2 linked regions of the Oreochromis niloticus genome follow. The protein of the gene in region 1 purifies or fractionates together with the protein of each later gene. This does not show direct contact. Links are inferred from orthologs where the notes say so. Each region holds a gene or a part of one and is shown on either strand. Other genes may lie near its edges.

What was found.
Region 2: the proteins of cyld (region 1) and spata2 purify together in Homo sapiens (affinity purification with western blotting; 10 studies listed by BioGRID and IntAct, with this or other methods). This does not show direct contact. The link is inferred for Oreochromis niloticus from reciprocal best matches to the Homo sapiens genes CYLD and SPATA2.

Annotation. Positions count from the first base shown.
Region 1 is NC_031965.2:31,474,515-31,482,243, forward strand, and holds the start of cyld (ubiquitin carboxyl-terminal hydrolase CYLD), read right to left. Parts: upstream 3,131-7,729; 5' UTR 2,767-3,130; intron 1,657-2,766; 5' UTR 1,606-1,656; coding exon 1,114-1,605; intron 1-1,113. UniProt on the Homo sapiens protein: Deubiquitinase that specifically cleaves 'Lys-63'- and linear 'Met-1'-linked polyubiquitin chains and is involved in NF-kappa-B activation and TNF-alpha-induced necroptosis.
Region 2 is NC_031984.2:16,328,887-16,336,493, forward strand, and holds the start of spata2 (spermatogenesis-associated protein 2), read right to left. Parts: upstream 3,144-7,607; 5' UTR 2,880-3,143; intron 2,752-2,879; exon of another isoform or gene 2,446-2,751; intron 1,915-2,445; 5' UTR 1,442-1,914; coding exon 1,091-1,441; intron 1-1,090. Other genes in the region: E3 ubiquitin-protein ligase RNF114, read left to right, coding at 3,442-3,578, 4,183-4,333, 4,550-4,656, 5,949-6,063, 6,188-6,295, 6,399-6,464.

The sequences.
Region 1 (7,729 bases):
AAATAAAACCTAAATTATCTGAAAATAAAACAAGCAATATACATTATTTAATCCCACATTTTTACTCGAAGCCATTAGATGCAAGCTTTGAAGCTTTACAGTTTGATTTTTCAGCGTTATATTTACATAAACTGTCATCATCTCACCGCTTTTAAACCAAGTGAATTGAAACAGAAGTTGTCAAGATGTGGCATCATCACTGTAAATGCAATATAAATGTGAATATTTAGCTTTTCATTTAGCTTCTGCAGCACTACTGTGTACCCTCAACAGTCATCAATACATCTTAAAAAAATCTTCAAAAAAGCTTTTTTATTGTTAACTATGCTATTTTTGTTATACATTATTTCCAAAAATAGCAACAGTTCAAGAATTCACCAGTGCTTTTGTGTAAGGCGAGGATCTGGGGATCTTTTTCCCTCCCAGTACGTAGGTAAGACTACTGAGCTTAAAATAGCAAATAAATGACACTTACACAATTAGACTGACAAAACTACATTCTTATCTATAGTCAGTTTGTAACACAACTAAAAAATGCTTGAGCACTTTCACTAATCAGGGCCATGAGATGTAAGCGGAAATGGTGGTACTTCTGTAACTTATTAAGTAAGTTATTGTGAAGAATAAGTGTTTTATTTGCTGGAATCATTTGCAGCAGTTTCCAGTTAGCCATCATGTCAAAAAAAAGTTGCGTGAGTCAAGCAAAAATCACCTGGTTTCAAACAGGACTCAAGAAACTGTTCCTGTTTTTTTGTTATTCCTATTTAGTTTTCAGTTCTTTACACAGACATAGACATAATAACTGGTTTTCAAGATTTTTTAAGGTCATGCTAAAAAGTAATACACTGGTTTTAGTGATTATTTTACTTAAATATTTGTCTCATATTAATTAGATCGAGAATGAAGCTGAAATAAAACCTTTTTTTAAGCTTGAAATGTTCTCATTTAAATTGTTAATTTTTTTTACATTTAAACAATTTTGCCAGTCCTTTAAATTTTATTTAAACTATAGTGGTCATCTCATTTTTAATGAACAGATCAAAAATCAAATTAAGAATCTACATAGATACCATGTTTTTACAAAAATGAGAATAAAACTGAAAGAGATCTCACCAGAAGTTCCACTCCAAACCAGATTCCAGACAGCGCTCTATCAGGAAGCAGTGAGCCTTTGAAGCGGACCACACCAGGTAGAGGTTCATCCCCTGAGCGCAGCTGGACGCGCACCTTGGAACCACAGTCAATATCACGGACACGCTCTAGCCGTGACTTGTTGCAGAGTAGCGCATACCGTTCCTCACAGTTAGTAATGGGAAAGAGCAATTCAGCCAGCTTCTCATCCAGCTCCAAGACGTCCCGCTCATCCAGGCTCAAAACCACGTTGGTTTGGTCCAGAATACGGAGACTTTTCTTTCCCTTGCATGGGGGCAGCGTTCTTCCTAGGCTGTTGCGCTCCTGACAGGCCTGGCCGAGACTGCCACGGGGAATCCTCAGGGTCTTCTGGGGAGGCTTCTCCACTGTACACTCCTTCACAACCATGTAGAACCGCCAGTCCTCCCTGAAGCCCCCACTGGGCTTCTCCTGGCTCCACAGGGCAGAGCTCATGTCTGCATGCTAGGCAGAAGCTCCAATGTCAAGGCAACCTTGACCTGTGGTCTAAGAAGAAACGAAAAAAATTAGGAAAAACCCCCCACCCAGAACACTTAAGGTTTGACCTAATAAGTGAAAGTGATGAGCTTACATTTCTGCAATGTAAATTAATGTGGTTAGACAGCTGCGGTTATGTGCTTTGATACCACAATAAGTTAAGCATTAATATAATTCATAACATTAACAATATTTCTACTCTAGCCCTTCCAAAGCACAAATCAGAACTGAACTAACAAGCACAACTGCTCATTCTGTCTAAAAGTACACTTGAGCAAAAAACAAACAAACAAAAAAACACACATTGGAACAGTTTCATTAATTAGATGCAAATAGATGTGTGATGAGCCATACTGAAATTAACCACGGCAAAACTCTGGTAAAACAGTCTTAACTGCACTGAGAGTTTAGAAAATCTCTGCTCCAGTTCGCTTGTTTTGGTTTCTTCTGAGAGATTGTTGTGCTCTTGTGTATTCTCCCTCATCTACATTCAGTAGACCAGTGATTTCTTTTTGAAAAATCAGCACTTTGTGTAACATTACTCATTGCTACTTATTTCAATTTTCTAAAAATAGAGAGTAAGCAGACAGTTGACTTATTCTGACACTCTGGGTAAGACAGATACCAGTCGTGTGGATTTCCCCTGATCACACCTCAGATATGATTTTTCAAACACCCGACAGAGTCAAGAGCACACAATACTTCTACATCCGTCAATTGTTTCAAACACGACAGCAGCTGCTGAACTGCGACATTTACTCCATCAATACGCTGTTGTTTTTAACAGCCTGAGTACCGTTAGATCATTTTTACAAGATTTTTTAAGGCTAACGCCATACATGGCTAAAGCCCAACACAGGTTGAAAATGAAAGTAATTTCAAACTGACACGCGCTGACCTGCTGTGACATTGAGTTAGCGGGGTCTTTCAGGTGACACCTACAAAGCGATACTATGACTTGCTTTAATCAACATTTTCCTTTGACAACATCAGCAGCGTGTCGCCGGGCAGAAGCTGTCAGTCAAAGGCCCTTTAAGAGAGGAAAGTGGCTAACGTACAGTGAGCTAAAATGCACCAGACAGTCATTTACGTCCAGTGCCAACAACACGGACACCTTACCTTTGATATGCGTGAATTCGGTTAGTGGCTACAAATGGCTGTCATTTCGAAGTCCATTCCAGTTAGACAAATGCTTCTGAAAACAGGTTAGACTGCTCTCGTAATAACCTCTGATTAGCTAAATGGACAGCTAATGCTACAATCCTAACCAGCTAAGTATCACGCTAAAGTTAGCCTAGCGAGCCGGTCAACAGCAACAAGGCTGGCAGAAGACTGCCACCTTCCTAAGTTTGCTAAAAACATTTAAATACATCTATTCTCCATGAGAAATATGTGAAATAATACAGTGTATCGCTACATCTATGAGATATATTATTTACAGGAGACGACCTCACTAAACTTAATGTATGACGTCCTCGTGCTCGCTGACAGACATTGGTTAGTCGTTTCTTTCTAAAACGCTGATTCGCTGTTTGTTTTGTCAATAACCAAGTCCCACTTTCTGGGGTTTTCCCACGGACGGCAGAAAGCGTAGTTAGGTTGGAGTGCGGCTTCCAAGGCAGATGATGCTCATCAGCTGCAGGCAGTTCAGAAATATTTATTCAAATAGAAGCAATTTTACACTATAATTATGAAATTAAAGAATGGGTATAAAATAAAATATGGCCTAAGAGTAAGAAGATTGATATTATTAATAGTAACATGTACTTAAGTATAAAATTGTTGGAGATCTGTCTGTGAAGGTTCTCAGTCTCAAATGCTGGAGATCATTTGTAATTTTCTCAGTATAACCAAACGGGTTCGTTATATGTTCTAAAATTTAAAGTGTCAAAGTTTTCCGAGACAATACAGCCTCCCCAAGTGGTCCAGTGAAATTTCTTCTTCTTGTTCTTTGGGCTGCACCCTTTAGGGCAGGGGTCGGCAACCCGCGGCTCCGGAGCCGCATGCGGCTCTTTTGTCCTTATACTGCGGCTCCGCGTGGTTTGGGAAAATAAATTAGAAGTATTTAGCTGAAGTGTATTTTATTTATGTTAGTTCTTTTTAACTCGTAGTTCTAAATTGGAAGATTGTTGTGATTTTGAAATATAAAAATAAAATTATATTCTATTATTTTTTTCATCGCTCAAAATAAGAGTCACACTCGCGGAAGCCGGTATACCCGCCGAAACGCCGTGCATTTATCGAGACTTTCAACCCCAGGTAGGTCAATTATGGATCTTCGGATCCACATTATGTCAGCAGCTGTTCTCCACCGTGAACTATGATAAAGACAAACACCGTGAGTAAACTGACTTCGTATATCCCCGATTTGCGGACTCTGTGCACAGAGGTTCAGGAGCAGAAGTCCCATTGTAAACATATCACGGCAGACCCGACGATGTTTCCATGAACACGCTTTTGAGCACCTCTTTATTGAGCACTTTTCACACACGGTTGCTGTACGCATACAGCCGGCTGTAGCTTTTCAGCTCACAGCCCGACATAGACCACCAACAACACAACAGCACAGATAGCGCAGACGTAAAGGCGGCGAGGCGTGATTGCGGGTGTCGCTCAGGTGCGTCCGCCTCCCCTGCAGCGGCGCTGCAAACCACGCCCCGCCGCACGCGTTAACCAGGTAAAATACATATTTAGGCAGAATTTTGCAAATATCTATTTTTCATTTTTCAGCAGCATAGTGCTTTTTTCCAATTATTTTTTAAGAGTCAGGTCAAGGCTCCAACAGCCCAAAGGCGATATAAGGGTGGCAGCTGACAACAGTTTTTGTTTGCTACGTGGATCATTTTAGTTCAGCTGGGTGTCTTTCCTTTTGTTATATTTCTTTAAGAGTTCAAAATGTGTTAATTACGTAAATAAAATGTAATTTTCTCTGTAGCACTTCATGGATTTCATAAGCAACACACCTTAGTTGTTCACACAAAGCACAAAGGTAAAAAACAATATATACAGTGTTATCTTCATTTTAGATGTCAAAAAGTATTTGCGGCTCCCAGTGTTTTCTTTTGCGTGGAAACCGGGTCCAAGTGGCTCTTTGGGTGTAAAAGGTTGCAGACCCCTGCTTTAGGGGTTCTCACAGTGGATCATCTGGCTCCATCTTACCTTATCCCTTGCATCTTGCTCTGTCACACACAACTCTCTGCATGTCCTCCTTCTATACATCCATGAATCTTCTCCTTAGTCTTCTTTTTTTACTCCTGCTTGACAGCTCCATCTTTGACATCCTTTGCACATGTTCAAACCTTTGCTCTTTAACTTTTTATCTAAACTGGTCAACCCTGTGCTGTCCCTCTGACCTACTAATTTCTAATCTTGTCCATTCTGTTCTCCCCCAATGAAAATCTTAACATCTTCAGCTCTGCCCTCTGCCTTTTTGTTATTGCCACCATCTCCAAACCATACATAATAGCAGGTCTCACTATCACTTCGTAAATCGTCCCTTTCATTCTTGCTACTATCGCTCACACCGACTCTCATCTCCACCCACTCCAGCCTGCATACGCTTTTTTCTCCATTTCTCTTGTGCACTGTGCATTTCTTTGAATGGTGGACCCCAGCTATTTAAACTCATCTATCTTCAGTATCTCTGCTCCTAGCATCTTCATATTTACACGTCTCTCTCTCATTCACACACAAATTCTATCTTACTTCTACTTCAACCTGTGTTGTTTTTAAATGTGCTTATGAATAAATTGATTGATTGATTGATTGATTGATTGATTGCCACCCCAACCTTAAACACATCTACCGCACACCTCATTAGTGTCTTATTGTCCTCATACATACTTCTTGGCCACTGCTGACTTTCTCATACAGTACCACAGCTCTTGGCACCCTATCATATGCTTTCTCTTATCAAGTTTGTTCAGTATGTGACCTAAATCTACATTTCTTTTTTCAGCATCTTCTATAAGACAAAGGGGGAATGATGTGCTGCTGCAATTTCAAGTGTTTGCACTACTGTCTGGGGACTATGTTCATGAAACAGTAACCAAAATAAGATACAACTCTTAGATCATACCATTAAAGATATTTTGCTTATCATGTCATCTTAGGGTGAAAAGCATGTCTCAGTTGCAAGATCAGTAGTTCGAGCTCCAGTTATGGCTTTTTTTTATATTCATTGCTTTTTGGACTTTCTACTTGTTGCTATATTTCTAAAATATAGAATTACTCAAACAGTTTCAACTATTATTATTCACAGTATTGTGCCCATTGATTTTTTAAAGAAAATGACTAACCTATACAGCATGACTACTTTTGTTTGTACAATTAGTAAAAGCTCAACTCTCTGAGGCAGATTTCTTGTAGTTTCTTTAAGCAGTCTTCTGGAATAATTCTCCAGGCTTCTTGAAGGACATTTAAAGCTCTTCTTTGGACGTTGGCTGCCTTTTGTTCAATTCTGTGTCAAGATGATCCCTCAATGCTTCAGTAGTGTTGATGTCTGGGCTCTGGGAAGGCCAATCCATGACTGGTGTTCCATTCTGTGTTATTCTATCTAGGTATGCTTTTACTGCACTGGCAATGTGCTTGGAATCATTGGCGTGTGATCACTGCAATACATTATTTTAAATCTGACAGTATTTTTCTGTTTTCAAAATTTCATCATTTTTGACAAGATGCCCAAAATCACTGGTTCAAATGCAGCTGTCTCTGAAACACAGCTTTCGCAAAGGTTTACAGATGGCTGTAGAGATTCACTGTTATACCTTTTTCCCTCCCTATCACTCTTCATTAGGGCTGCCACGATTAGTCGACTAGTCACGATTACGTCGACTATTAAAATCGTCGACGACTAATTTAATAGTCGACGCGTCGTTTGAAGCTTTGTAAGATCCCAAAAGACGCAGGAATAAGTAGTAGTATTTAAGAGTGTAATAACGGACTGAAACAGAAGATGGCAGCACTGCATGTACAAGGATGCCAGCTGCCGTTAAACCCCGAAGAAGAAGAAACTGTGTTCCAGAATTCATAGCGCGGCCCAGCGCAGTTGTCAACAATGGCGGCAGCTAGTTAGTTTTAATATTACAATTATTATTCTTTCTGGGTCACAAAATAAACGTTTAACATATTTTCAGGTGTACATTTTACGTCCAATGGATGCATGATCTGATTAGTCGACTAATCGCAAAAATAATCGGTGACTAGTCGACTATCAAAATAATCGTTTGTGGCAGCCCTACTCTTCATGCATATATATTGTTGCTGATTTGAACTAAAAAAAAAAATGCATTTGTATTGACTAGTCCACAAGTACTTGAGCTGCATTTATTCAATCAGGATTAACTGCAGAATGGGAATTTTCTTTGTATAGGATGTTTTTTTAATTACACATCTGCTTAATGAGCATTATATTAAAAGACAGAAAATAGAAACCAGTTTACACACATGACAAAAACAGGTAACATAGACAGCAAAAATATAGTATATAGTGTAAAACAGAATACACCCAATTTCCATCAAACATTCCACAGAGTTGTAAACTCATTCCTAAAGCAAACAACCAGAAAAGAAACATACAACAAAATGTGCTCTATAAACTTTTCTGCTGTGATAAGTTTTAATAAACAAAAATTGAAACTTGTAATGTCAGTAATTTCTACTTTTAACTTGCACAACAAGGACTTTGAGAATACTCGTTTGGACTGTAAGAATACTCTTTGTAAATCTCCCAGACATTTAAGCTCAGTATAGTAAAAACATACATCTGATCTGATACAGAAAATTGATTTTCTTTTTTTTCCACTCCAAAACAACATATTTGCCTCTGCCCTTCTCTGCAAACTTCAAATGTAACCTTTTTTGTAACCCTTAAGACAATGTAACTGTACATGTGTAGTTGTTTCTGACTGAAGGATATGAAGGTGTTACAACTCTTCCATAACGGTAACCACAGACTATACAGTCTTACATTCTGTAGTAAAATGTCACACCTCTTTCCACTAACTACAACAAAATAAAATAAAGAAACAAAAAATAAAAATAACACTTCTGCTGTTACTATGAGTAGTAGAAGTTGTGTTGG
Region 2 (7,607 bases), on another chromosome or scaffold:
ATGCACATCTATGACAAAACAGATGATTACCACAAATTACAACAACCTCAATGTAAAGCTGAAATGACCACCTTTCTAATATCAAATACTTATTTTAAATATAGTTCTAGATAAAATTGGCTGATAGAGTCAAGCGAAAAAAAAAAAAAGTGTTTTAGAAAACCAGAAGTGGGGACAACTATTTTTGGTCCTCTTTTGGGGGGTTGATAATGATGGCAGAAGGCTGTCTAACATGTACAGAAATTTCCCATAGACATTCAGTTAACTTGATATCTTGTGAGGGTGAACGCCATAAGATAATTCATAACGGTTTCGGCTCTGTGTGCAAGGACATTTCCCTCTCCTATTAGGTTAGAAATGTTTCACACCAAACAACTTCGTATTGATTTGCGGTGCTTTCCCTCTAAGAAGACAAGGAGAGCCAAAGAATGCCAGCAACATAAATCCCCAAAGCAAAACAGAGGCAGTGGAACACTGAAGTGTCAAGAGTTACAGCTTTCCTTTTAATTTCTCACTTATTCACCAAGCAGAACTGAGCAGAAGCAACCATAATAACAAGGTCCTCTTTGCACGCGTGTTCACTAAAATTACAAGTCTATACAAATTTTAATAGTTTCAGAAAAATTTTCTTACTTTTAGATATTAATTTACTAAAAAACATGTCAAGCAGTTTATGAGACAGGGGAGATCAAACTTTTGTTTGTATACCCACTTTATGGTATTAAGATTAGACAACAAGTAATTAAGTTAAAATAATCTCTTAAGATTATGCAGATATCTGATATCTGCATAAAGACTGAGAATGTGTACACAAACGTAAAAGTCTTGCTTCCACACTAAAGGTCAGGAAAGATATTCATATATATTGCCTGCAAAAGACAGTCTGAAAGATATGCAAATTCACAAAAGTATTTCGGTGTACACACACACTGCCCTGATCAATTGCCAAAGCTCAGTATCTCAAAGCTCAGGACTGGACAATAATGATTAATTCTGATATAACAAATGTATTAATAGTGAAATTTTGGCTATTAGAGTAAACTAATCTAAGCAAAATATATTAAATATCCCATCAATGAAATAAACTCACCTTTATACATCTGAATTCCTTCTTCCAAGGGAAGAGCAGGAGGTTGGTGCAGATGGTTTCCAGGGTATGGAAGGCTCTCTCGAGGCCCTTCAGGTTGACTCCTCTCTGGGAGCGGAGGGAGTTCTCCACTACCTCATAGAAACGCACCATGCGAAATCGCTGTGCCGGATCTGGCTGATAGGCTCCTAGCAGAGCTGTGGCTGTGGAAAGTAGGGCCTCACTGTCCTTGTGTCTGCTTCTTTCCCCTTCTTGCGTACTTCCAGTCCCCCTGTTATCCCCTCCTTCCTCCAGGCGCTTCTCCAGTGCTGTCACATACCTCCGGAACAGGTCCTCTTTTAACTTGGCATCCATTATTAGCAGCAGACTATTAGTCAGCTGTTATAATTTTCTGAGAGAGCCTCACACCTTTTAGCATGCCCAACCACAAAATGCCACATTCAGACACCATTTTTGGTTACCATTCTTTAAACCGTATACACTAAATGTTAATGTCGTGGAGAGATGACAGAGGAGTCAATCTTTGCATCCACTCAGTAGCACATCCTCTAAGCAAGAGATGCAGTTTTCTAGTGCTTTCAGTTGGTGTAGCAAGGCTGTAGCCCATAAGGATGCCTTGGTATGAGCATCTCTGGCTTTGGCTCAAAGCCTGACTTGTTTCCAGAAAAACAGGCCTCTGTCATGCAAGATAACGTCAGGGGGGAGGTTTTCCTTGGCACACAGACTTGCATCTATTCCATTGCTTGGTTTTAGCATTGGTAGAGTTCAAGGTCACTCATCAAGAAGACAGATTCATGATCTTGGGGTTGTTATCAGCCATGTCCAAGCTGAAATGACACAAGCAATAGCTGTTAAGATAAAAAATATCATTTTCGGTTTCTAGCTAAATGAAAATGCAATTTAACTGTGGTTAAGCATGTTTTGAAATATCTAGAGGTTCAGATAAGAGGGAAGATACACTAATCCAGGACCATCTCTGTACTCAGAGATGTGAAGATGGATTCGTTTGGGTGGGTGGGTTTTTTGTCTATCACATAGTGAAAGGGCTTTTTTTTTTAAAAAATTGTTTGTTTTACAATGTACATAACCAAGAAAAAGGCCAGTGGAATTATAGCTTAAATAAGCAAGAGAGGAACTCATTACTGATGTATACATCCCTCTCACACGTTTGCGCCAGTGAACGTTTCAGCTATTGGTACTACATGCGTGTAAACCAGAGTGGCGCTAACCTAGCCTAGCTTAGCTTCAACTCAAAACTCATAAACACATCGTGAAAATAGTACGAGGCTTGAACAACAGGAGAGCAAACATTTCGCTCTCAGATTCTTGCAAGCTGGCTGGCTGGCTATACCTGTTACCTGAAAATCTCTGCGAACATCCGCTCAACGAGCTAGCAACCAATGAGCCTTAGCCAGACGCATGCTTTACAACTGCGTATCTACTACAACAAATTTAGTCCACCGTGACCAATGGCAATATAAAGTAATACTCCTAGAACGTATACATTAATTCTTCATGACTCTCAAACCCGATGCTGCCACTGCTATGGCCTCCCTACTGAGTAGAAGCTAAACAGTGAACGCCCATTTCAGCGTAGCTGGCTAGCTAACAATTGCTTTTGGTTAGCAGGGCGTTCCATCGCTACACAGACATTATTCGCCAGTTTAAAATAAAATAACAAGACACAGCGAATTTTTAAGGTGATGTTCTTTTGGGATCAAATGTTAATGGGCTCCCACTAGGAGATCAAGACGTTTGTTCAAACAAAAATAACAGCATTCGCAAATCTTACCTTTAACAAGTGCTAGTCATGGCTAGCTACGCCTCCTCAGCTGTTGGAAATTCCCAGTATAACAACACGCATGCGCTCAATCCTGACAGTTCATCAGCATCAGGAGCCCACGTGCTAGGGAAGACGGGATACAGACCCCCAAATACATCATCCCCAGTCTTCATTCATTTTTGTTTTTGTTTTGCATGGGTAAAAAAATATATATATACATATAGGCTCGCGTGCGCGCAGAGACAGATTTCCCGGGTTCATAATGATTTGCCGAAGGTATACATTTAGTGGTGTGGATTTCCTGCTTTTTCGTTGTATTAGTGCCCGAATAATTCAGATTTATTTGAATAACTATATATTGTAATATTTTGAATGTCTCTGGGGGGTTTCGATATCTAGTGGGAGGGGGGGGTGTCACAGATTTAGTAAGTATGTCGTACAATTATGTGTTACGATGTTTACTTTCGCCGGTGACCCCGCCCCCTCGCGCTTAAAAAAGAACAAGAACCCGATGACGTCGTCACGGGGACGGTTGGTGCTGGTGGTGGAACCGACTCAGTGAAGAAAAGAAATGGCGATGCTCGGAGGCTTTAGCGCAGCACCTCACAAGAAGAACGCCTCGGACGGGAGCAACGACGTGTCCGAATTCGTCTGTCCAGTTTGCCTCGAAATATTCGACAGTCCCGTGACAACACAGTGTGGACATACGTGAGTATTTTTGCCGTTTATTTTCCATCGCCCTCCCCCTAACCCTCGTCTGCCACCAACGATGCAGTGAAAAGAGGCAAAAACAATGGAGGAAAGGGCTTCACTTTAAATATGTCGTCGCACCAGAGTTGCAAAATATCGGCCTCGCGAGTGTCTTCTAGTGCTACGACCCCGTTTTTTCTATTTTTCTCTCTCGAATATGTGACAAAAACAGTTCCAGCTTGCTAAATCAGTTTCAGTTTTGTTTACATCAAAAAGGAGGCCTCACTTGGGAGTTGTAGTTTGGATGTGTATTGCTCTAACTCTTCAAACCACTTTAAAGAACTACAAGTCCCTGGCTATTCTCGAGGTGGGGGACTTTCCATATGAGTTACAGGAAGGTCCAGTCACTAGCATAATAAAGGTTTGTTTTAGTGACAGCATTTGGGGTTTTTTTCTCATTGCAGGCCATGCGTTAATGTAAACAGAGTTGCTGCATGTTTTTGTCTTGTTTTTTAATAATTTTTTTTTTAAAGCCTCAGGTTACCAGAGCCCAAATTAAAAGTGACAATTTAGTTGATTTATCTTGTGCAGCAGTCACATTATTTCACCCATCTCTTGACAGGTTTTGCCACAGTTGTTTGCAGGAATGTCTGCGTCCACAGAAACCTGTGTGTGCTGTATGTCGAGGCGCTCCAGGCCACTGGACTAGAGCTGCTCAACTCGAGGCACTCATTCAATCTTCTGTGGCAGCCTGTAAGGGATGTGGCACACAGGTATGTTTCACTAAAGTCCAAAAGCTAAAATATTGCTGAACTGACTCACATTTATGAAGCAGTCACAGAGGGTGAATATTCAATAACTGCACATGCATAATCTTAATATTTTGCTGTGTCTAAATTTCTGTCTTTATATTTAGATAATAGCAACAATTTTATGATGATGGTCATATACTGGAAGTTACTGATATGTGTCACTCCTCCCCCAATTAGGTTGGGCTTTCTAAGATGAGAAGCCACACAGCTGCCTGTTCAAAATACCAGGAGTACATTGAGGAGGGAGTCAGGACAACTGCCCAGAGCCAGCCTGCCATCGTCAGGTGGGGAAAGAAGCAGAACAATTATTTGCTATTCCCTACATAAGAAAAGCAAAATGGTTTACACTGTAGAGTCAGACTTTGCGTGCAATCACTGCTGCTTGTTGGGTTGTATAAATTAAAGGTCACCTTTGGACTAACACCAATCCAAAGTGAAAAAGGAAATGAGTGCAGCCCTGTCAGTAGAGTCAGTGAGAGGGCTTCATTCACAGAGCAGAGAGTACTGTACATAGGAAATGGAGTTCTGTTGGCCCAATCAAATGTATGCAATGATAGATTTATGATAGATTTCACTGTAACTTAAGTGCCAAATTTAAACAGTTGACCTGTTGTGACAAATGATGGAATAATATCTTCTTGTGATATAAAATTCCCTGTTTATAGTATTATAAACTCTTGGCAGTACATTGTTGTTTGATAAGACTCCAAAGTCGTGGCTCCATTACTGCCTTGTTTCACTGACATGCCTAACATGTCAGTCAAAAATGAAATGCTCTGTTTTTGCGGTCAATCTGTCATGTGAACTATATGTAGTGTATACATTTTACACTTAAAGTTAAAAAAAGTAAATGGAAGTTTTAGCACAAATAGGATTTCAAATTAAACACAATCTGATTGCAAGTAAAATAGTATTATAAAGTGTGATCAAGCTTATGCTAAGTATTCTGTATTTTACCTGTTGTAATTTCCAATCATGATTTTTCCAGAGTGTATAGAAAACAGTACAACTTTTATCTTTAGAAAACATAAAACACTGTTATTGTCAAGTTGTATGAAGTGGATCTGGTTTTTATCATATTTGGATGTTAAGTATTTATGACAGCTGTACTTCCTGGAGAAAGTTCCGAGAAGATGGTTTGAGAAGCCGTCGCTTGTAATGAGGTTATTATGACTAATCAGGAAGTAGTCTTTAGTGGGGGGTTTTTGTTTTGTTTTTTTCCACCCAAACAGCAGCCTTTAAAACAAAGAATCCACACATTGTGGCATGTTGGGCCAACACTGTTTAAAGTAAGAAACCGATCCTGGTATTTATTTATTTTGTTATTTAACCCTCCAGATGTTTGTGCCAGGAAACGGATTCCTGTTATAAAAAAGAAAAAAGAATAACTGTCACTTTTAAGCCTTTCTCAAGCTCTTTCAGCTGGTGAAAAGTTGATGTGACAAAAGATAAAGATTGGCCACTAACTGTGGTAAATTATTTCTTCATAAGCTGATGCCTGTTGCACTTCAAGTGCAATATTCATGTAGTTGAGAACCAAACCTTGTGACATTTTATTGTTTCTCTTCTGCCACAGTTCAGTGCCAAATCGCTACACCTTCACCTGCCCCTACTGTAACTGCCAGAACCTCGACCAGGACGGCCTGGTTGAACATTGCACTTCCCAACATGCTCGAGATGCACGCCAAGTGGTAAAAAAAAAAAGTCTACTCTGTCATAATTCTGAGTCATACTGAGTTTCCACACACTTACTGGCTTCAGCTGGGTTAATAATGTGTTTCAAAGATCGTTTTATTACCTTCATGTTTTCTTTAGGTGTGCCCCATCTGTGCCTCGATGCCTTGGGGGGATCCTAATTACAGGAGTGCTGACTTTTTCCAGCACCTGAAGATCAGACACACTTTCTCCTATGATACATTTGTTGTAAGTAAAGCACTCTCTGTTTATTTGTTTGTTTGTTTTTTATGTTAATAAGAATTTAAGTGACTTTTTTTTTCTTCCACTTCTCATGCTTACGACCTCCCAGGATTATTCCACAGATGAGCACACAATGATTCAGGAGGCTTTACAGCGCTCCCTTATGGACCACTGAAGTGTGAAAAACAATTCACCGGTGGAGGGAATCCAGTGAAATGAAGGGATGATGGTCTTGAAAAGACAGAAACACACAGTGTCATCATTCATCTAGAATGGGGATGGTGGTACTGACTTACTATGGGTAATTATTTTTCATAGGGAACTGGTATCGTAACTATGAATATATAGGTTTATTATTCTGAAAATAAATCACGCAATATGGTTACAAAAAAAAAAACATATTGTACTGTTTGATTTAGGAGTAATACTGTGTTTCTGGTGTGATAATCACTTATCTTCCCCTCCCCCCAGCTGAGTCTGTAGACTGGATAGTTTGTTAGGTATCTGCTAAACTATGTTTAAGCTGTTTGTTTATCAATGACAAAGTGTCATCTAGCAACAAAACATCCGAACCTGTGATTTAAAAATTCTGCATTGTCAATACTTGATGTTATGAGAGGGTCTAACCACTAGGTGGCTACCTATTGCCAGCAGACAACAAACTTCACTCTGTGAAGTCTACAAGTAACAGAAACATATTATACTAATTCTACTCGCATGTTTATGCAAAAGGTTAAAAGGTAAAGGGACTTTTATTTCTTTTCTTTTTTTTTTTTTTTTCTTTTTTGACCACAGTTTTTCAGCAGATGGGGGAAAAAAACTGTCTTTTCAGTGCTGTTTTTGATTGAAGCGCGTGTGTTTGTGTATTAGAGTGTGGCTGGGTGTGTTCATTCTGTTTTGACAGATCTACTGGTAAGAATAAACAATGAGGGTCAAACACAGCCAGAGATGGCATTTTTGCTTTTTTGTGATGTTTCTCCCTTATGTCTTTGTGCCTGCTGGTAGATCTTGTTTTCAAACTTCCAGAACTCATAGGGCTAATACAGTAGTTCATTCAGTGAATCTACAGATGCAAGTATTTTAAAAAAAAAAAAAAAAAAAAAAGTCAGTGTGTTTGGGTTAATTTGGTCACTTTCATGTGAGAATTTATTTGCATGTGTCTAAACCACAAGAGGGCAGTAGAGTTCTACATTTCTGTGACAACATGACAACAGCTGGTTCTTGCAGGACATAATTGAAGACAGATTTCATTCTATAAATGTACTTTACCCAGTGCTTTGTTCTCCACTTTTTAGTTTTGTTTTAATATACAAAAACA